Linked DNA regions of Oryzias latipes. The protein of the gene in region 1 binds, or shares a complex with, the protein of each later gene. Links are inferred from orthologs where the notes say so. Each region holds a gene or a part of one and is shown on either strand. Other genes may lie near its edges.

The links.
Region 2: the proteins of tubulin beta-1 chain (region 1) and pacrg are in contact, whole or in part, in a cryo-EM structure (PDB 7UNG), measured with the Homo sapiens proteins. The link is inferred for Oryzias latipes from reciprocal best matches to the Homo sapiens genes TUBB4B and PACRG. Residues at the interface, in NP_006079.1 of Homo sapiens: Glu194, Phe260, Pro261, Arg262, Gln291, Phe294, Asp295, Ala296, Arg306, His307, Gly308, Arg309, Tyr310, Val333, Lys336, Asn337, Ser339, Tyr340, Phe341, Gln375, Ser413, Asn414, Asp417, Ser420, Gln423, Gln424, Tyr425, Gln426, Asp427, Glu432; in NP_689623.2 of Homo sapiens: Glu40, Gly41, Phe42, Thr43, Val44, Ala46, Met47, Met48, Val53, Arg54, Gly55, Pro56, Pro57, Ala58, Ala59, Gly60, Ala61, Phe62, Arg65, Lys154, Arg160, Arg162, Arg191, Gln192, Pro195, Asn198, Ile199, Phe200, Asn202, Met203.
Region 3: the proteins of tubulin beta-1 chain (region 1) and efhb are in contact, whole or in part, in a cryo-EM structure (PDB 7UNG), measured with the Homo sapiens proteins. The link is inferred for Oryzias latipes from reciprocal best matches to the Homo sapiens genes TUBB4B and EFHB. Residues at the interface, in NP_006079.1 of Homo sapiens: Asp26, Glu27, Asp31, Pro32, Thr33, His37, Gly38, Asp39, Ser40, Leu42, Gln43, Thr55, Gly56, Gly57, Lys58, Ser78, Gly79, Pro80, Phe81, Gln83, Leu215, Lys216, Leu217, Thr219, Thr221, Asp224, His227, Pro243, Gln245, Phe270; in NP_653316.3 of Homo sapiens: Tyr523, Gly524, Val525, Gly526, Leu528, Ile529, His530, Asn531, Arg532, Tyr537, Arg539, Asp542, Arg545, Ala546, Ala549, Ala550, Arg552, His553, Lys556, Tyr608, Asn624, Phe625, Trp628, Asp630, Lys631, Thr686, Leu687, Leu688, Ser691, Asp692.

Annotation. Positions count from the first base shown.
Region 1 is NC_019867.2:26,977,009-26,983,094, forward strand, and holds tubulin beta-1 chain, read left to right. Parts: upstream 1-2,559; 5' UTR 2,560-2,658; coding exon 2,659-2,715; intron 2,716-3,495; coding exon 3,496-3,604; intron 3,605-3,693; coding exon 3,694-3,804; intron 3,805-3,883; coding exon 3,884-4,944; 3' UTR 4,945-5,220; downstream 5,221-6,086. UniProt on the Homo sapiens protein: Tubulin is the major constituent of microtubules, a cylinder consisting of laterally associated linear protofilaments composed of alpha- and beta-tubulin heterodimers.
Region 2 is NC_019880.2:6,467,811-6,473,896, reverse strand, and holds the start of pacrg (parkin coregulated gene protein), read left to right. Parts: upstream 1-2,551; 5' UTR 2,552-2,696; coding exon 2,697-2,768; intron 2,769-6,086. UniProt on the Homo sapiens protein: Microtubule inner protein (MIP) part of the dynein-decorated doublet microtubules (DMTs) in cilia axoneme, which is required for motile cilia beating. Suppresses cell death induced by accumulation of unfolded Pael receptor (Pael-R, a substrate of Parkin).
Region 3 is NC_019874.2:30,064,185-30,070,170, forward strand, and holds the end of efhb (EF-hand domain-containing family member B), read left to right. Parts: intron 1-254; coding exon 255-432; intron 433-527; coding exon 528-614; intron 615-745; coding exon 746-875; intron 876-986; coding exon 987-1,067; intron 1,068-1,163; coding exon 1,164-1,231; intron 1,232-1,310; coding exon 1,311-1,465; intron 1,466-1,647; coding exon 1,648-1,855; intron 1,856-2,694; exon of another isoform or gene 2,695-2,793; intron 2,794-2,848; exon of another isoform or gene 2,849-3,504; intron 3,505-4,122; coding exon 4,123-4,311; intron 4,312-4,397; coding exon 4,398-4,579; intron 4,580-4,920; coding exon 4,921-5,067; 3' UTR 5,068-5,452; downstream 5,453-5,986. UniProt on the Homo sapiens protein: Microtubule inner protein (MIP) part of the dynein-decorated doublet microtubules (DMTs) in cilia axoneme, which is required for motile cilia beating.

The DNA.
Region 1 (6,086 bases):
GTCTAAAAGGTCGTTTCTAACTCATGCAGTTGATCATGTAATAAATTAAAATGTCAATAAAAAACTAAAATAAAAAGTGAGAATGTGATTTTTTTAAGTGGTTTAATTTGACTCAGTGTTGCAGCAATAATATAATACTGCACGGGGAAAGATTGCTTTTTTACATCCCAGAACAAATATATAAACAAAACACTTTTGTTCCCATTTGTCATGAGATGAACTCAAAGATCCGAAACATTTCCTACAAACAAAATAACCATTTCTCTCAAATATTCTTCACAAATCTGTATCTAAATCTGACAGTGAACACTTTTCCTTTGCTGAGATAATCCACCCCACCTCATAGGTGTGCCATAGCAATATGCTGATTAGATAGATTATTGCACGGGTGTACCTTAGAATGGCCACGATAAAAGGCCACTCTGAAACATGCTGTATTGTTTTATGATTCAGAAAACTAGTCAGTATCTTATTTGCCTCATGAACTGCAACTAAGAGTGTAACAATAATCAATGAATCGATGAATCGATTTCTATTCCTAGGATCAAACCAGATCGATCTATCAGAGGCAGAATTGATTTGAATTGACCTTTACGATTAAAAGATCGTTTCAAAATGAGATAAATCGATATTCGAATCGAAATTGGAAAATACGTACAGGTTTAGACATGGTAGATTAGTTTACTATAACATAAAAACAACAGAGTGCATCACAGAGGACAACACACACGTGATGGCAGCAAAAATGATAAAGCCATCTTTCCAGTCCAATGTATGGAAACACTTTGAATTTTGCAAAGACTTGTGACCATACAGAGTGCTGGAATGTTTAATAATGTTCCGTTTGGACCATTTTAATGTAGAAAAACAACAGTGGACTTAAAGTTATGACACCAAAATGTGAATGGATTTGCTATTAATTCTTGTTTACTTGCTTGTTTGTTTGTACACATACTTAATTTACACTTGATTGTCATGCAAAATATTCTAGGAAACTGGAAAACTTCACATGGACTGTTAAGTACCAGGTATTTATCTCTGCGTCACTCCGGTTTTGGCAATAGATGTCCTGGATTGATTTTAGGTCAGTGAATCGGATAAAATCGGATTGTTTAAAATGAATCAAAATAGAAAGTGAATCTAATCAGCGACCACAAATCGTTGCAACCCCTAAGTACAACACATCTCCTTTATATAGAAATGTTTAGGTTGTTGGTTATGGCCTGTGGAATGTTGGTCAACTCTTCTTTACTGGCTGTGCCAAGGTGCTGGATATTGGCAAAAAGGAACATGCCGTCGTGTACGCCGATCCAGAGCATCCTAAAGATGCTCAGTGGGTGACATGTCCGATGAGTATGCTGGCCATGCAAAGATCAAGTGTATATTCTTGCAACATGGGGCTGTGAATTATCATGCTGCAACATGAGCTGATGTTCTTGAATGTATGGCACAACAATGGGCCTCAGGATCTTGTCATCGTATCCCTGTGCATTCTAAATGCCATCAATAAAATGCACCTGTGTTCTTTGTCCATAATACACTTGCCCATACCATAACCCCAACACCACCATTCAACAACCTGATTAACTTTATGCGAATGAGATGCGTTGCACAGCACGATTCAAATGGTGGTCACACCAGATACTGACGGTTTTATTGAGTCCAGGACAAATGGGAGCTGAAACAAAACTTTTTTTTATATATTTTTGTTCAGCTTACTTAACAGGCAGGTCAGACAATCAGAACATGATTTGTGTGAGTTTGTCACATTTGGAAGAGCTCATTGGTGTTCATTTAAAATATGTTTATGTGTCTTTCAGAAAAATACTTAAAAAAAATCTAAAACAATTATAATTAAACAAAAACAAATTAAAAATAGAAGGGTATTAAGAACTCAGAAGGTTAGTAAGCACTAGTCGTGTGCAAAGCAGAGGAAGAAAGATATTTATGTTGGCCAACAATAAAATTTTAACATGGAATCAAGGGAAAGTTTAATTACCATATCTACAAAAGACTAGGAAAATGATATTATAATAATAAAATACAAGGGGGGGGGGGGGGGGGGGGTTGTAAAAACTAATTCCAAATAAATTTTTTAATGTACAATCGTCCATAGAAAAAGCAGGATGTAACATTTTAAACCTTATAAAATGAAAATAATTTAAAACTTCTTGGTTTTGGTGTTTTGTCCACCGCCTTTTGTGGATCTAAACTCTCTTTAACAACAATACAAGTTCAGTCAGGGAATATTTGTCTTTTATAGCATTAAACAACACCTCAACAACTTGAATAAGAAAGCTCGATTTCAATCAAATGAAAAGTTTAGACAACTAACGGACGGATTGTTACTTTGCAACACGAACAAAAAAGCTCTGCATTTCCGTTCCGCCATTAAAAATGAATGACGTCTGCGGATTTCGGTTTGCTCACGCGCTCATGTTTGAAGTGAACGACAGGGACTGTTGGCCAATAGCGAAGAGACACTTTTGGATTTGATTGGACGTCATTTCCCTTCCAAAGCATCTAGCCAATAGGATTTCCCAGATAACATACGGGGGCGGGGCGTGGCTTATAAAGTGGGGCGTTGTTCCGCACAGCGCGCATTAACGGTAGATGAGAAGACAGAATCGTAAGCTCCTCCGCCTGTAACCACCAAAAATGAGGGAAATCGTACATCTTCAAGCTGGCCAGTGTGGCAACCAGATTGGTGCCAAGGTAAGCAAGACGGCAGACTAATAAATGTTTATTTCTGTTCTGTTAAAAATACGTACTCACCTTTCTGAAATCCGGCGCTTTGTGTCCCTGAAACCACACCCTGGAGCCAGACAACGTGTCCTACTTTTCCGTTTCCATTTAAAATCCTAATTGAAAAGTTTTTAAATTGCATATTATAATACCATGCATTTCAAATGTTCATCATATATTTACGATAGTAATAATTATGAACGCCTAATGTAATTATTCATTCTTTGTCTGTTGAAAACACTATTTTTCGGGTTAACAACTTTCACTCTGTCCGTTTCTAATTTAGTAACTGCTGTAATCCATCGTTCTTGTAGCGATAATCGGGCCTAGTGCAACGCCGAAGATCTTAGCGAGGGAAGCAAAATGGAAGGAGGGGGAAAAAAACGGAACTTCAATGGCTTCTTCCAAGATGTCGGACGAAAAGAACTTCCGCCATTAATGGAGTTAATTGAACATAGTTACTGGTTAAGAAAAAAAGAAATCTTCGAGTCCGCCAAATTTTATTCACTGAGGCCTATTCAACCGGCATTGCCGACGAGGCGGCTGATGACGTATCCGTTAAGTTTCAAATATGCAAGTCATCCAATAGGGGGCCGTGGCGCGCGCTCGCCATTTCGGAGAGGCGGGAAAGTGCCTCGCCGGAAACTGATTTTCGTTTTTTTTCTAAATCTTTCCTGGGTTGGATGCTAACTTTTACTGTAATTATTTTTTCTACATGTGATCAAACTCAAATATTTCGTACATTTGTAGTTCTGGGAGGTTATCAGTGATGAACATGGTATCGACCCCACTGGGACCTACCATGGCGACAGTGACCTGCAACTGGACAGGATCAACGTTTACTACAATGAAGCCTCAGGTGGGAACATCATTTGTTGCACCAACCTAATAAAGTTTTGCATTTACTAAATAAATGTTTTTTCTCCCCTTTTCACTTTTGCTTTAAAGGAGGGAAATATGTCCCCCGTGCTGTGCTTGTGGACCTTGAGCCCGGTACCATGGACTCTGTGAGATCCGGACCTTTTGGTCAAGTTTTCCGACCTGACAACTTTGTCTTTGGTGAGTTTTTGTAAACCTTTAATTTTTTTGTGCACCATCTGCAGGCCAGCTGATGTTTTTTTGTTTGTCCTTTCTGCAGGTCAGAGTGGTGCTGGAAATAATTGGGCAAAGGGGCACTACACCGAGGGCGCAGAGCTGGTTGACTCTGTCCTTGACGTGGTTAGGAAGGAGGCAGAAAGCTGCGACTGCCTACAAGGCTTCCAGCTGACCCATTCTCTTGGTGGGGGTACAGGTTCAGGTATGGGCACCCTCCTGATCAGCAAGATCCGGGAGGAATACCCCGATCGCATAATGAACACGTTCAGTGTAGTGCCTTCTCCTAAAGTGTCCGACACTGTAGTCGAGCCCTACAACGCCACACTGTCGGTCCACCAGCTGGTCGAAAACACAGATGAGACCTACTGTATCGACAACGAGGCCCTCTACGACATCTGTTTCCGCACCCTCAAGCTCACAACGCCTTCCTACGGTGACCTCAACCACCTGGTGTCTGCTACTATGAGTGGCGTCACCACCTGCCTGAGGTTCCCAGGTCAGCTCAACGCAGATCTGCGCAAGCTGGCTGTGAACATGGTTCCATTTCCCCGCTTGCACTTCTTCATGCCAGGCTTTGCTCCCCTCACAAGCAGAGGCAGCCAGCAGTACAGATCGCTCACAGTGCCAGAGCTCACTCAGCAGATGTTCGACGCCAAAAACATGATGGCCGCATGCGATCCACGCCACGGGCGCTACCTAACGGTGGCTGCCATCTTCCGCGGTCGCATGTCCATGAAGGAGGTAGACGAGCAGATGCTCAACGTGCAGAACAAAAACAGCAGCTACTTCGTTGAGTGGATCCCCAACAATGTCAAGACAGCCGTCTGTGACATTCCCCCCAGAGGCCTCAAGATGGCTGCCACCTTCATCGGCAACAGCACGGCAATCCAAGAGCTGTTCAAGCGCATCTCCGAGCAATTCACAGCCATGTTCAGGCGCAAGGCTTTCCTCCATTGGTACACCGGAGAGGGTATGGATGAGATGGAGTTCACAGAGGCGGAGAGCAACATGAACGACCTGGTGTCAGAATACCAGCAGTACCAGGAGGCCACAGCTGATGAGGAGGGAGAGTTTGAGGAGGAGGGCGAGGAAGAGCTTCAATAGAGTTGCTTTGTTTTTCCAAATTTGAGCATTTGCCTTTCGTTCCAGAGGAAAAATATTTCCAAGTTGGTTGCAGAGAAAATCTTTGCAAGATTGTGTCAGAACATTTTTTTCCCAAGTTCAAGAAAATTGTCTGCAGATCTTCACGTGTAATTTAAAAATGATCTTCCTGCTTGATGCATGTTAAAGTTCAGAACACCTGGAAAATATTTACACAGTTAAAGCCACTGTAAACCTGAGTCTTTCAGTGTTTCAAATTAAAGTGTAACAACATCCAAAGGTCTCCTTGAATTCATTTAAATGTTTCAGTGTTTCAGAGAATTGCACCACCCACTGCATAGGGTCCTGTGCCTAACATTTGGACATTGAGTCTGAAGATCAATTTATTAAACTTTCAAATGTTAAAACCAGAAATTATAGATGCCTCTTCATTAAAGTGGGACTTGAAGATGTGTTTGGGACTTTGTCCACTAGATGGCAGTGTGGGCTTTTAAAAGAGAAGCACTGCCATCTAGTGGACAGTCAAAACGACTTTGATCTTGTGGCTTTCTGCAGTGATTCAGTTATAGATTTATGGGAATATTATCTACAACAATGATTAAAATGTTTACCTGTTTAGTACAAGCCTCGACGATCAGTGAGCTTTGGTTTTCCAACTAAAACTCCCATTGAAGCTCCTATTGACTAAAAACATGAAAAACACTGCTCTTGGGGGATGGAGAACTCCTGAGCTTCTATTGTTGGCACCATCCATCTTGTATGACCTGGCCTGCTGGAGAGGCAGCATCAGAGGGGGAGGAATGACCTGGATGAAGGGATCCAAATGTCAATCTCCATCCCCTGCTCTCAGTCCAGGGATTGGCATACATGTAACGCCACAGAAAGAGGCCCTGTCTGCTCTGGAGAACAGATTGACAGACTTGTGTGACGGACATATCTTATGACTACCTGTCCTTCCTGTCGGTTGTCAGGATCTACAAAAATATAACCACACAGACCCTTTCCAAAAAAATAGAATGTCATGAAATCCTGTATTTATTAAACCTTCATAGAATAGAGATTTGGGGCCTACTGTTTAGTTGGTTTCTAAAATTTAATTTTTTTTCTACATAAACTGGAGTTCCAGCTCATAAAACCTACAAAAA
Region 2 (6,086 bases), on another chromosome or scaffold:
ACGAGAGATTAACAATAAAACCAAAAGGAATGAGAAAACTGATTGGCCATTACAAACTGACCGTCATTTAAAGCCAACCAGCCACTGACTGCTCTCCTTACTGCCTAATGGTCCACACTCTAATAGCTGTTTGTCTTGTTTCACAGTAATTGGTGAGCAACGGACTCAATGTGAGCCTTCTCCTGCTGAGATTCTTTTCCTGGCCTTCTCTGACTCTTTCCTTTGTATGCGCCAGTTTCTTCTTTAATGATATCATTACAGCAGCTTTCCCACACACTGGACAATGGTTTCCGCGTCTAACGGGAGCTGGATGCAAATGAGCCGAACCTGGAACATGATGAGGGGGAGGAAGAGGATACATAGCATTAAAAAAATTAATCACAGAGGAATGTATTGAGATTTCTTTGAAGTGACTTACATTTTGTCTTCTTATTTTTCTTTTGTTTCTTGTTTTCGAAGCCACCACAGAAAGCAACTGGATTCTTGTGTTTTTTTTCTTGAACGGGATGTAAGTACGTCATTTGAGTACACCAACGTGGTGACACAATAGCCCGAGGAAGAAACATCAACATGTATCTTTCAGTTGCAACCACTGATAGATTTTTATCATGTAGCGTTAATATGGCAAAGCCTGGAAAACAATGAAATCCTTTCCTGTAGACACACCCACTGCAGTGAGACAGAGAGCCTCGTTTGAATCCCTTTCCAGCCCAGATGAATTGCTCCTGGCATGTTAGTTTTGTTAGTTTGCTTTCTAAAAACTCCCTACCCTTTATTTTTTTTAATTATCTGGAAAGCAAGAAGAAAGGAGAGGCTAGAGCTGAATGCTGACAGGGACATAACCTTTCATGGCTTGTTTACTGGCACGCTTCCTGCTACTATGCCGTTCTCTCTCAATAGAGCCATAAAAAACAAATGGGGGCTTTTAGAGAAATTGCTTGTACACCGAAGATTAATAACAGCTGCACCGGTTCACCCAAGAAAGTCTCCAGAGGCAAGAATGATATTGCAAGTTTAAAAGTGCCAGATCCCTAAATTGAAATGAGTCAGGACTAAGGCGGCTCTAAAAGTGAAAGTCTAGGCTTTGGTCCACCTGCCAGCCGTGGAGCGTCGTTAAGTATTTACTTCTGCCTGAGTACAGTGATGAGGGTGCGATCGATTCTCCTTTTTAAAAAGGACTGGCATGAGAGCTGTGGCAGAAGCACTAAAAAAAGGTAATTCTCTGTGAGATTAAGTCATTTTCTCACTGTAGTAGCTCATTAGTTTAAATAGAACATTTTCAACAGAAGAAAAATGAAGCAGGTAACAAACAGACAATGAGTTGGAACAGGAAAAAATAAAAACTCGCAAACCGTTAAAACACTTTTAAAATTCCATGACTTTAAAAAAGTAATCTGGACATTTCTTTTTCTTCTGGATCAATGCTTTATTAAATCTTTGGCATTTAGTCCACAAAAATAACAAGAAACAAGGATAGGATGTTTTTTCAAAAACTGAATTTATTTTAGATGCTACTTTAAAAAAAAGCTGTGTTCTTTGCTTTCTTCTCGTAAAAAACAAAACTCTTTTTAGATTGACCCCAACTGAGTATGTAAATTGCATTTTATGTATTCAAAATCCCTTACAACCCATTGTAGATGAAAGTTTTTTGTTTGCAACCGTTAGATACCTGGATAAATGTAAATATGGAGCTGTGCAGTTAATTCAGAATGTATACATTAATATAATGATAAAAATAATTTTGTTGTCGAATTAGTTAAAAATGTATTTTTTATGGACGGATATCTTCCGCTCATCTTCGTGTCAGAATATCATCTTTGGATATAATATTACTCATCTCAGCAGATCTGGTATAATTGTTACAAAGCTTAAAATAATAACTTATTTAAATCAGCGCTTGTATCCCCCACTTTCTCCACCTCTCTTCCTTTTATTCTCTAACACCTCCCACCTAACATTCTTCCCCTCTCCCTCCCCACACACACTAAATGTAACAAATTAATAAAAAATAATAAATAACAAAAAGGGGTTTCTACAAATGTACACTCTGGTTTTTTGAAGATATATAACCTCTTTTTGTGATAGTAAAACCTGTCCAACACAAAAGGCCTTCAGCTCTAATCTGTTTGCTCAGTTGTTGGACAGAACAAGTTGGAAGAAGAAAAAAACAAGTTATTTTTTTGGTTAACCCAGACCTCTCCACAGCGCCCTCCTTTCAGAAGAAAGGCTCTCCCGCATCTCTAAAGCTAAAAAAATAAAATAAAACCAAAATTACAAAAATGTTCTCTTTTTTCAGGTTTCAGTGCAGTGGTTGAATCAAGCTGTTAAAAGACTCATAGACCAGTTCAAAGTTCTTCTAAAATTGCTTTCTGCAAAGTTTCTTTTCTTCTTTGCTTAGAAGAAAGGACATACTTTTAATTTTGAAATACTTTTTTCAATTTTCTAATCATTAAAGTTGCAAAGTATATATATTTTTAAAGGTATCTTGACCTTATTTAAAGAGAAACCATTTTCTTTCTGGTCTTTGTAGAAACAGGACACATGTTTGTGACAACCAGTTGCTTAGCAACCACTTGTCAACAGTAGCTAAGCCGGACAGCAGTTTACCAGGTTAAATTACTCCTTGTTTTCTTTTTTGTTTGTTTTAGTTTGGTTTTAATTTTGTGGACATTGTTTGGAAGACACACCGCGGGTAAATGTGGAAGAAAAAGAGGACGGAGCTAAAAGCAGAAGCCTTCACAGTGAGAGCCAGCATGGAGAATGCAGTGGTGAGTGCAGATCACAGCTCAAGCAGCACAAAGACTCGACTGTTGGGGTTCCCTCTCCATCGGGGTGCTGCATGTTTAACTGATAGCTTAGGTCATTTGTGACCTGTTTCAGTGAAAGGAAAAATAACTTTTTGTCAAAAAAAAAGGCTTAAGAAAATTTTGTGTCTTTGAACAATTCAATTAATAAAAAGCAAAGTGAAAACTGCAACAGTTAATGGAACAGTTAAATTTGAACATGAACTTTACTTTTTATATTCGTGCGATATTAGGAGTAAAGAAAAAATAAAAAAGAAAAGAATGAAAAAACAGTAAAACTTCCAATTTGAATGATGAAAAAAATCAATGCATGTAGTAAAATATTTTTTTAATATGGCATTAGCTAAAAAATTGTGTACATTTTTATATAATATATGATTTTAGGATTTATCTGTTTTATTGGATATTTGACAAACTGTTTCCTTATGTGTTGACTCTTGTATACCAAGAAACAAAAAAATAAAGATATATAAGAACAAAGTCATACCATTTTAAGAAAAAGACGATAATGTACTTGAATAAAGTTACAAAATGAGAAAAAAGTCACAATTTATATGAATAAATAAAAAACAAGGAAAAAGGCCAGCTTTTTCAGAATTAAAAATGGTTGTTTGAGACTCAATCCACGTTATGTACCAATTAAATCCAACAATGCACCTATTTATGGTGATGTCATAAGACTTTAGTTTATCATAGGAATCCATGTGTCTTAATGCATTCAAACCTCTGCATCTATACTGCTGAGGGCATAATGACAGGGTCGTCCACCAGAGATCCTTGTGGGTAAAGAATCCTTTTCTGAAAAAGTCCGGTTTCCTTCAAATTTTTTTTTAATATCTTCATACTTACAATAAGTTTACAGTAGCTCAGTAAAAGCTTTAGTACTTCCTTTTGGCTGAAGTATCCACTTACAATGGGTTCTACGTCTCTCATCCAAAATTGTTTCAATGTTTTTGTTTTTGTTTTTATTTTTGTCAGCAGTCTTTTGCCTTATAAATTTCTAACTTTAATCATCTCAAAAATTTTTTAATTTTCTTATAAAACTATAACTTAATTTTTGTAAAAAAAAATCAACTCTTTTACTCGGATTTTATGAGTTTTTTTCTCATAATTTTTCGACTTTGTGTTCGTAAAGCTTTGACTTTATTCTCACATTTATTTATTTATATTTTTATGGTGCTTGTATGGTTTAAACTTAGTTCAATTGATGGATTCATTCTGTGAGACAGCCCCCCCCCCCCCATTTCATTTACCGCAGATGAAGACAGATCAGGGTCTGTAATAGGTTGTCTCGCCTAAAATTATGGTTTTTATTGACTTCATAGACATGAATGATTCATTCTGTAAAAATATTTTGTTTTAGTAAGAAGAAGGAAAACAATTTAAAGAGATCTGTTTCTATTTTGGAGTCCTGTTTCTGTGACATGAATGTCAGAAACACAAATCCTAATTTAACTTGGATAAGGAAAAGTTCCTGAATGCAGGAAAACCTAAAACTCTTTAATTGCTCAGAATATTGTGAAGCTACAGTAAAGAATTAGCTTTTACTGATGTTATTCATCAGATCCAGTAATGAACACAGGCTCTTTGAAGACCACAAAAAACAAGTCTAAAATAGAAAAACTATACCTTCCCTTTTATATTCTCTATCTTAAAAAGGTTGACTTCTCATTTGTACTTCAATACGAGTTTAATTGGATTTTCTTATTTTAGAAATGATTAAAAATATACAGAATTCCACCCCCTCCCATTAAAAAAAGGCCTTATTAAATGTACACAACCCAGCATGGGCTTGGGTGATAAACTGATTTTCTCTTTCTTATCCGGCATAGAGCCTTGAAAAAAAAAAAAAAGGACAGTTGGAGGGATCATTTACCATCTCCTACCTTTTAAGGACAGATCTCCTGTCCAGAGCTTTTACAGAGAAGACTCTTGCACAGCCTTTTGATATTCTCAACCTCCCTGGAGAATCTGTGCCACAAATATTGCAAGCTGGCTGGCTAAATTCTTAACAGAAACTGTTGCATTTTCCAGGAGCTTGCAACTTTGACTCTTTTTTTTTCTTGCTTTCCTGTGGTCACAGACACATCACCCCTGAGAGGGCAGCTTTGTGTGCAGCTGTGATTTGTAGGTAACAGCAAGGCCATTCCAGGTCTTGAAAGGGTATGGGAACTTGAAGCATAGGCTTATTAAGCTTTGAATTATTTGTGGTCATAGAAATTGGATCAATAGTCCAGGCTCCTGCAACTCTTATCCCTTTTTCTTATTTTTTCTCCCAGTGATCCATCCTAAAGATTCAAAAACAGAAAAAAAATTGGATTTTACATTGTGGTGGGAGGTCATCACCTTCTGTTACAGAAAGGAAAGCAAAGCTGTTTTATTTTGTGCTGCAGCTTTTTTTCTCCCAAGTTTACAATAATAAACAAGTGGTATAAAAACTAGAAACTAGGGAGCAAAACTTTTAGTGTGGTTTTCAGACAAAACAGAAATCTGAAAATGACATGGGATTTAATTACACATGAAAAAGAAAAATCTAAATAAAAGTACTAATTAAATGGTTTGACAAGGTTCATAAATTTTGTTTTTCAAACTATTATACCGATGCCAAACCAACTAACTGTCTAGCAAAAATCCTCCGTCCTAAACAAAAGATTTAAAGACAATATACAATTAAAGTCGCGAGCAGCGTTGTTTGGCCCGCAGGCGCTACCTCCTGCCTTCGCTGCCTGTCTGCCCCGCCGTTCAAAATCTACAACTTCTAAGTCCAACATTTTTTCTTTAGTAGCTTGTCATTGATGCCTGAGAAGGTACAAGACGATAGATAAAAATCTCTTGGACGGGTTTTCATTTGTATCTGTTACAAAAGGTGCTTTTTTTTAAATTCAAGATGGCGGCCACCACCAAAGGTCAAAGGTCAGTGAAATGTCTGTGGTCGTTGTAGACTTATGATAGCAGCATGTGTGTGAAATTTTGTGAAGATCGCTGGAACAAAAGTTTCCCTTCCCATATTGTGATAAAATGTGAAAATCACCAATTCTCGGAGTTTGCCACAAAATGGCTGCCAAGCCATTGGTCGTTTGGCCATCCCATAATAATTTCAAAACTTTCTTTGGATATCCTTGACCTGTGTGTTTTGGTTTCGTCACTGCATTTTGAAATATTTTTTTCTGGCCCTGTGGATCTTTTAGCCCATTCATCTTTTTTTACGGTATTGCTCGATGTGATGTCATCATCTTGGATTGGGGGGGGTTCGTTCACTTAATCAAAATTCCCTTTCACCGG
Region 3 (5,986 bases), on another chromosome or scaffold:
CTCATCTGTTCTTGAATCTCTGTAGATGCAGAGTATATTTTTATTTATTTAGATCTTTTAGCTATTGCAGCTTTTCAAACTGCTTCCATCAAAGGTTTTTTTTGTTGTCGGCCGGTCTGTCAGTATGTTCAAAGAAACCTGAATAAGGTAAGAGAAATATTAAACTCACGAGATGACAAAAGTGCAACAAATATGGAAAAAAATATAAATACAAATTTAAAGATGCAAGTACAAATGATGTTTTTTTTTTTCAGGACCAGAGCTTGTTGAATCCTCCTCAAAAGACGCTCTTCCAAGAGAAGATGCTGGAGGTCAAGGAGTCTGTGTACGCTTCCAGAAGGAAAGCTCCGCTGGGTCGCTCACGAGACCAACCAGCTCAGCTTCCTTCCTGGTTTGACGGCACGACCATATTTGGTACAAAGACGGTTAAAGGTAAAGTAAAAAACATGCAGCTTTAAAATGTAGTCGAGTCAAAGTTTCAGTGACGAAAACAAAATATTTAACAGTTGTTTTGCTGAATGATGCAGGGCTGGATGTGCGTGAGATCATAAACCCTTCTAAAACCGCAGAGGAGATGGAGACGGACGTTAGAAGCCACAAGGACTATTTTGTTGGTAAGGAGTGACACTTTTGCTTCTGCAGCAGCACCAAGCAGGATGCTTAAGGATCCAGATTCCTCAGTCTGTTGGAGGAATGTCAGACTGCACTGAACCAAACCCAATTTCTTCACTTTGGTCCATTCCAGGAGGGCGACTCAATAGAAAATACGACTCCAGATGTTTCAGTGACGACTGCAGGTTTGGGATCCCGACGCCACATTTCAACGACGGGCGCATCGTTGGGAAAACCCTCAAATGGCTCGGAGAGACACAGAAGTGAGTCATAACATGACGAATGAAACAATGTGATGTTTGTTCTTCATTTGCTCTACTGACTTCATATGTTCAAGTCAGTCCTCTTCAATCTGATGGGATTATTTTGCACAGGTTTTATAATCCAAACCCCGTTTGGCAGAGATCTGGTACCAAGGAAAAACTGGCACTGGAGTTTGGAAAAGTTGAGAACATGTAAGGTTTTTTATTATTTATTTTTAGTTTTGACCTCCTTTGTGACCTGTTCTGTTAAATGTACGCAATATTTAAATTAATATCTTTTGCTTGCAGAAAACTAAATGCTCCACCGCTTCCAACCGATCACATTTTTGGAATCGTTGTGCCACCAGATTACACGGGTAGATCTGCTGATAAAAACAAAGACACATCCAAGAAAATAGTTGAAATATCTTCATGACGTAGCTCCTCCCTTCACAGGAGCTGGAGAAATAATCCACTGCGCAGAGCCGGGTCAGTACACCAGAGGTCGTGACAGCTGGAGTGGTCAGGTCCAAGCCCTGAGACACCACCTCAGGAATCTCAACTTCCAGAACTTTCCCTCTTTGATGAAGGCCTTCCAACATTATGACAAGGCAGGAGCAGGTTCAGCCTGATAGAACACCAGAAAAACCCTTTTTCACCTGTGTTCTTTAATGTTCTATTATCTAAAAGTAGAATGCAAAAAGGATAGACACCAGATTGATATCGTTTGTTAAAAATGTTGCTGTCCAAAAGTTAGTTATCTACATTTTTCTGTGAACCTGTAAATCACTAGAAAGGAAAGGAAATGATCGACAAGGACGACCTGAAGGCGGTCTTCCGTGAGTTCCAGCTGGATGTGAAGGAAGCGGTTGTGGATCAGCTCCTGGCCTACTGTGACGCAGACAAAGACGGACTTCTCAGCTTCACAGAGTTTGCTAACTTCCTCAACTGGAAGGACCTGATGCCCCTTCACAGCCAGAAGCTGCGCGGTCAGCGGAAAGGTCAGTGAGCCGCACGGCTTCTCACCGACCCAGGCTGGATGGAAGCAAACAGAAGTGTTTGCCCCTTTAAATGTGGGCAGAAGAGACGCATGTTAGGAAGCTGAAAAACAGGAAATATGGCTAAAAATGAGATGCGCCAAGTGCTAAAAATAATTATAATAATTATAATATTTGTTTTTAACTTAAAAATAAATAAAAACAAAATAGAGTTGATGGTATATGTTAATAGTGCTCACTTGGATTTTGTGAATTTTTAAATAAATGCAGATTTATTTAATTTATCTTTGGGTTTTTCTTTTCAGTACCAAGAAACTTCACAAAGAACAACAATTTACAAAAAAGTTGAATGTATACATAAATCATCAAAATACTTTCAATAGTAATTCTGTATAAATATTTACACATTTGTAAAGACCAATTATGCCATGGTAAACTAACTGGACAAAATCATAAAATATAAACTTTAGCCCCACCCCCTTCACTTGTTGCAATGGTTTGCTCCAAAGGCTCCCAAACACTGTTTTGTGACTCTGCAGCTTTTTACTCAGCTTTGCTGCCAAAAAAAGCAGGTAAACACGATTTAATTAATTTATTTGACTTTTATGAATAACCACATAATTGTTTTAATGCTATAAAGCATTCATTGTTTTCCTGTTTCTTTATTATAGTATCTTCCACCAGTATTTGCCGCTTAACTCCTTTTACAACTTTCAGCTATTTTAACCATTCAACTATTAAAATATTCAGCTTTTTCCAGCTGTGACTTTTGGTCTTTCAAATCCTTGAACCGTTTAAGATATTCCAGGAAGGATGTTTATTGCAGGTTTTTTTTTTTTTTTGTTGACACAGAAACACACAAATATACTTTTTCTCCAGAAAACATTCAAATATAGGACAGCGTCTCTAACTGTTGTCGTCTCATTTGGCTGCTCAAACGGGTCCAGCTGGAGTCTATGAAACCCTGGTGTTTGTGGATTAAATGGAAAAATTCAGGAAGGTTTCTCTTAGATTTCTATATGCTAACATAATATGTTAGATTCAATAAAACATTGTTTTGATGGTTCAAATATTCTGTTGGTTGAGATTCTTCTGACATTTTAGGATGTTTGTTTGCATGTTTGGAGTGACAGAACGGGATCGACAGGTAGTTCCTGAGTTTTTGCCCCGCAGCAACGATTTAGATATCTGTGGAGTCTGTGTCCTGTCATAGTCTACGTGTTCAGTTTTCTAGCTTGACGTCATGAAGACTTTGGCAGCTCGGACACAGATGTGCTGCCCTCATAGATGGTTTACAGGCTGGAAACAGAGCTTTAGCTTCCACTGGGCTTTAGTGTTGAACAGCCTGTCAGCTGTCAGCTGCCTGGATGATGGGAAGTGGACCGTACATGGCCTGCATAATAGTCTGAGTTAGAACCGGCACTGCTTCAATGAGCTAAATACCTGCATAACACGTTAAACAGTGCTGAGAAATGTTAGACCGGCAACAAAAATAAGCAAAAACATTCAGAAAAAGATCACGTTTTAAATGTTTGTTCAACCGAAAATGCATCTGAATTTTTCAAAAAAATTACAAAATAAATTCTAAATGCTTGTTAAGTTGGAAAAGTGCTGAAATCTGCTGTCAGGACCACAAGTGACGAGCTTTTCAGTATAAAATCTAGACGTTCTGAAAAAAGAAATCAAAAAGCACGTGAAGCTTGATCCTGTGACTACTGAAAGTTTGAATATTGATTATAGGTAAATGAATAAAACTTATATGGTTATGAAAGGCCAGAAAATTCACATCTAATCCTTTGGCTTTCAAAGTCGTTACAAAAACGGAATTGATAGCAGAAAGATTAAAGTATCTGAAAATAGATGCTAACAAGATAAAAGTATTTCTGTAACCTTTTCTGTTTGATGGTGGAATTCTGTTTATTAAGGGTTTTAGTAAGACTCCTGAACTCCTGCAGAACCCTCAGGTTTTGTTCATCCTCTGATTTCTCCTTCCACTTTTTGCACATAATCTCTTTGCACGGCTGAATTGTTTGTCTTTATGTTGCGTCTGCCTCACTAACCCGTTTTGACTTGTCTGTGTCCTTCTATTGCTTGTAATGTTTAGATGCTGTTTTGTTTTGTGGCCGCAGGAACTTAATTTTGCTCTGCAGTGCATCGTCCATGCTGTGCACGAATGACAAAGAATTCTGAGTCTGAATAAATCTTATGCAGGAGTCCTGCACGTTTTGCCTATTTTGAGAAAGCTTCTGTGTTGTTTTTCTCTTTCTTAGAACATCAGTCCTGCCCATCAGAACCAGCACAGCAGCTTCTCTTTCAGGCCTCGATCAAGCCTGAAGATCCGGAGCCAGTTAGACCCGGCAGCACCGAGAAGCCCATCAAAACACTGACAAGAACAAGCGCAGCTCCAGACCAGTTTATGACCTCCTCCTCTCTCACCGGGGCTGTCAGTCACACATCAAGTCAGTCCAGGGAGAATTTAAGTACCAAACTCTTTTCTTTTCGTTCTTTTTTTCCCTTCATTTTTGTGTGTTGTGCCTTTCCACAGATAGCCGCACATCCGGCGTCCCATCTGTTCGCTCCGATCTTCCAGCTCCACGCCTCAAGAGGATGGGCGACACCACAAACTACGGAGACTCGTCCACAGCAGCAGATCTTCTACATCCATCAGTTCACGCCCTCAGAGGAGTTCATGAGGAGCACTTCCTCTGTCCTCGCTCCAAGGAGGAGGTAAAGTCTCTCCTCTGGTTGAAGGATGCTCGTCTGTCTCTGAATGCTGGGATTTGAACGAAATTAATAAAGACTTCTCACATATATGTTGACATTTGTGGATCTGCCTCTGCTAATCCTTGGATTCAGATAATCTGCTCAGTCCTCTTTGATTATTGTGGTGAACTTTGACCTAATTAGACGGGTCTGCTCGTTGAGCTGTCTTTAGAAATTTCTAGGCACTTATATTTTTACATTACAACTCGTTCAGCATCTTGTTAGATTTTGTTTTCTGTGTATTGAAGCGAAGAAAGTGTGATTTAAAAACGACAGAAAAGTGTTTATTTTTGACCTTTTTTCAGATTTCAGAGATCTTCAGGAATGTTGGTGTGGACATTTCAGAGAAGACATTTGAGGAAGCCTGGACGCTGGCGTCCATGAAACGTCCAAACAGGGAGGTTTGTGTGGAGACTTTTCGTAACACACTAAAGGAAATAAAAGCAATGTAACGTCAGCGTATTTTCTCTTTATCGGATATTTCTCCATTTTTAAGTTTAATGAAAGCAAATGAAGTCAGAAATCCACAAAGAAAAACACATTTTCATAGAATAATCTCTAATTTGTCAGATGGATCTTTATGGGGAACGTCGCAGCCTGTTCCTGAATTAAGTGCCTTCAATGATAGGAGTTATGAATAAGTATGAGTGTCGAAGATCATAACTCTGGTATTTTTTTTATAACGTAAAGTTCATGACAATAAATTTACCTTGAATAATTACGTAAATCTTTAACTAAACATCATTTTTGTCTATTTTTGTTCTTGCATGTTGAAAATGGGGAGCATGGATGCATTTAGTTTTTGTTCTTGTCAAAAAATAAAATAAATATTTTTATTCAAACTTTTTTTTTTCTCATAAAGTTTCTGTTTATGGAAAGACAAAATCCTAATCTAGAAAACATTTAAAAAGATGAAATCCTCATCTCACTTTTCAGTAAAGCCTTACGCTGCAAATGATTCAGACATCCAACAGATGAGACACTCATTAAAGGACAAGAACCTTCCAGTATTGGGGGGCGGTGGCCTCCAACCTTTAATGTCAAACAGTATTTTCCCAGACCGGTCTGTACAGGCCTGAAGTTGGAGTCTGAATTTATTTTTGGCCTCCAGCTTTTCTTAACTTTTGAGAGTTAAGTTTATCTTCATCCTTTTATAAAACATCTGCAGCTGCTTTAAACTTTATTCATACACTAAATAGCATGTAGGAACCATTAAAATGTGATTCTAACCCATAACTGTCAAAGTGGAAGCTAAAACATCAAACGCCAACTTCATGACCATGAATAAAAAAAATTCAAAAGTTACTAAAACTGGTATTTTCTAAACATAATAATAAATGTGAATCCACAGCTTGAACAACTGTATTAGCA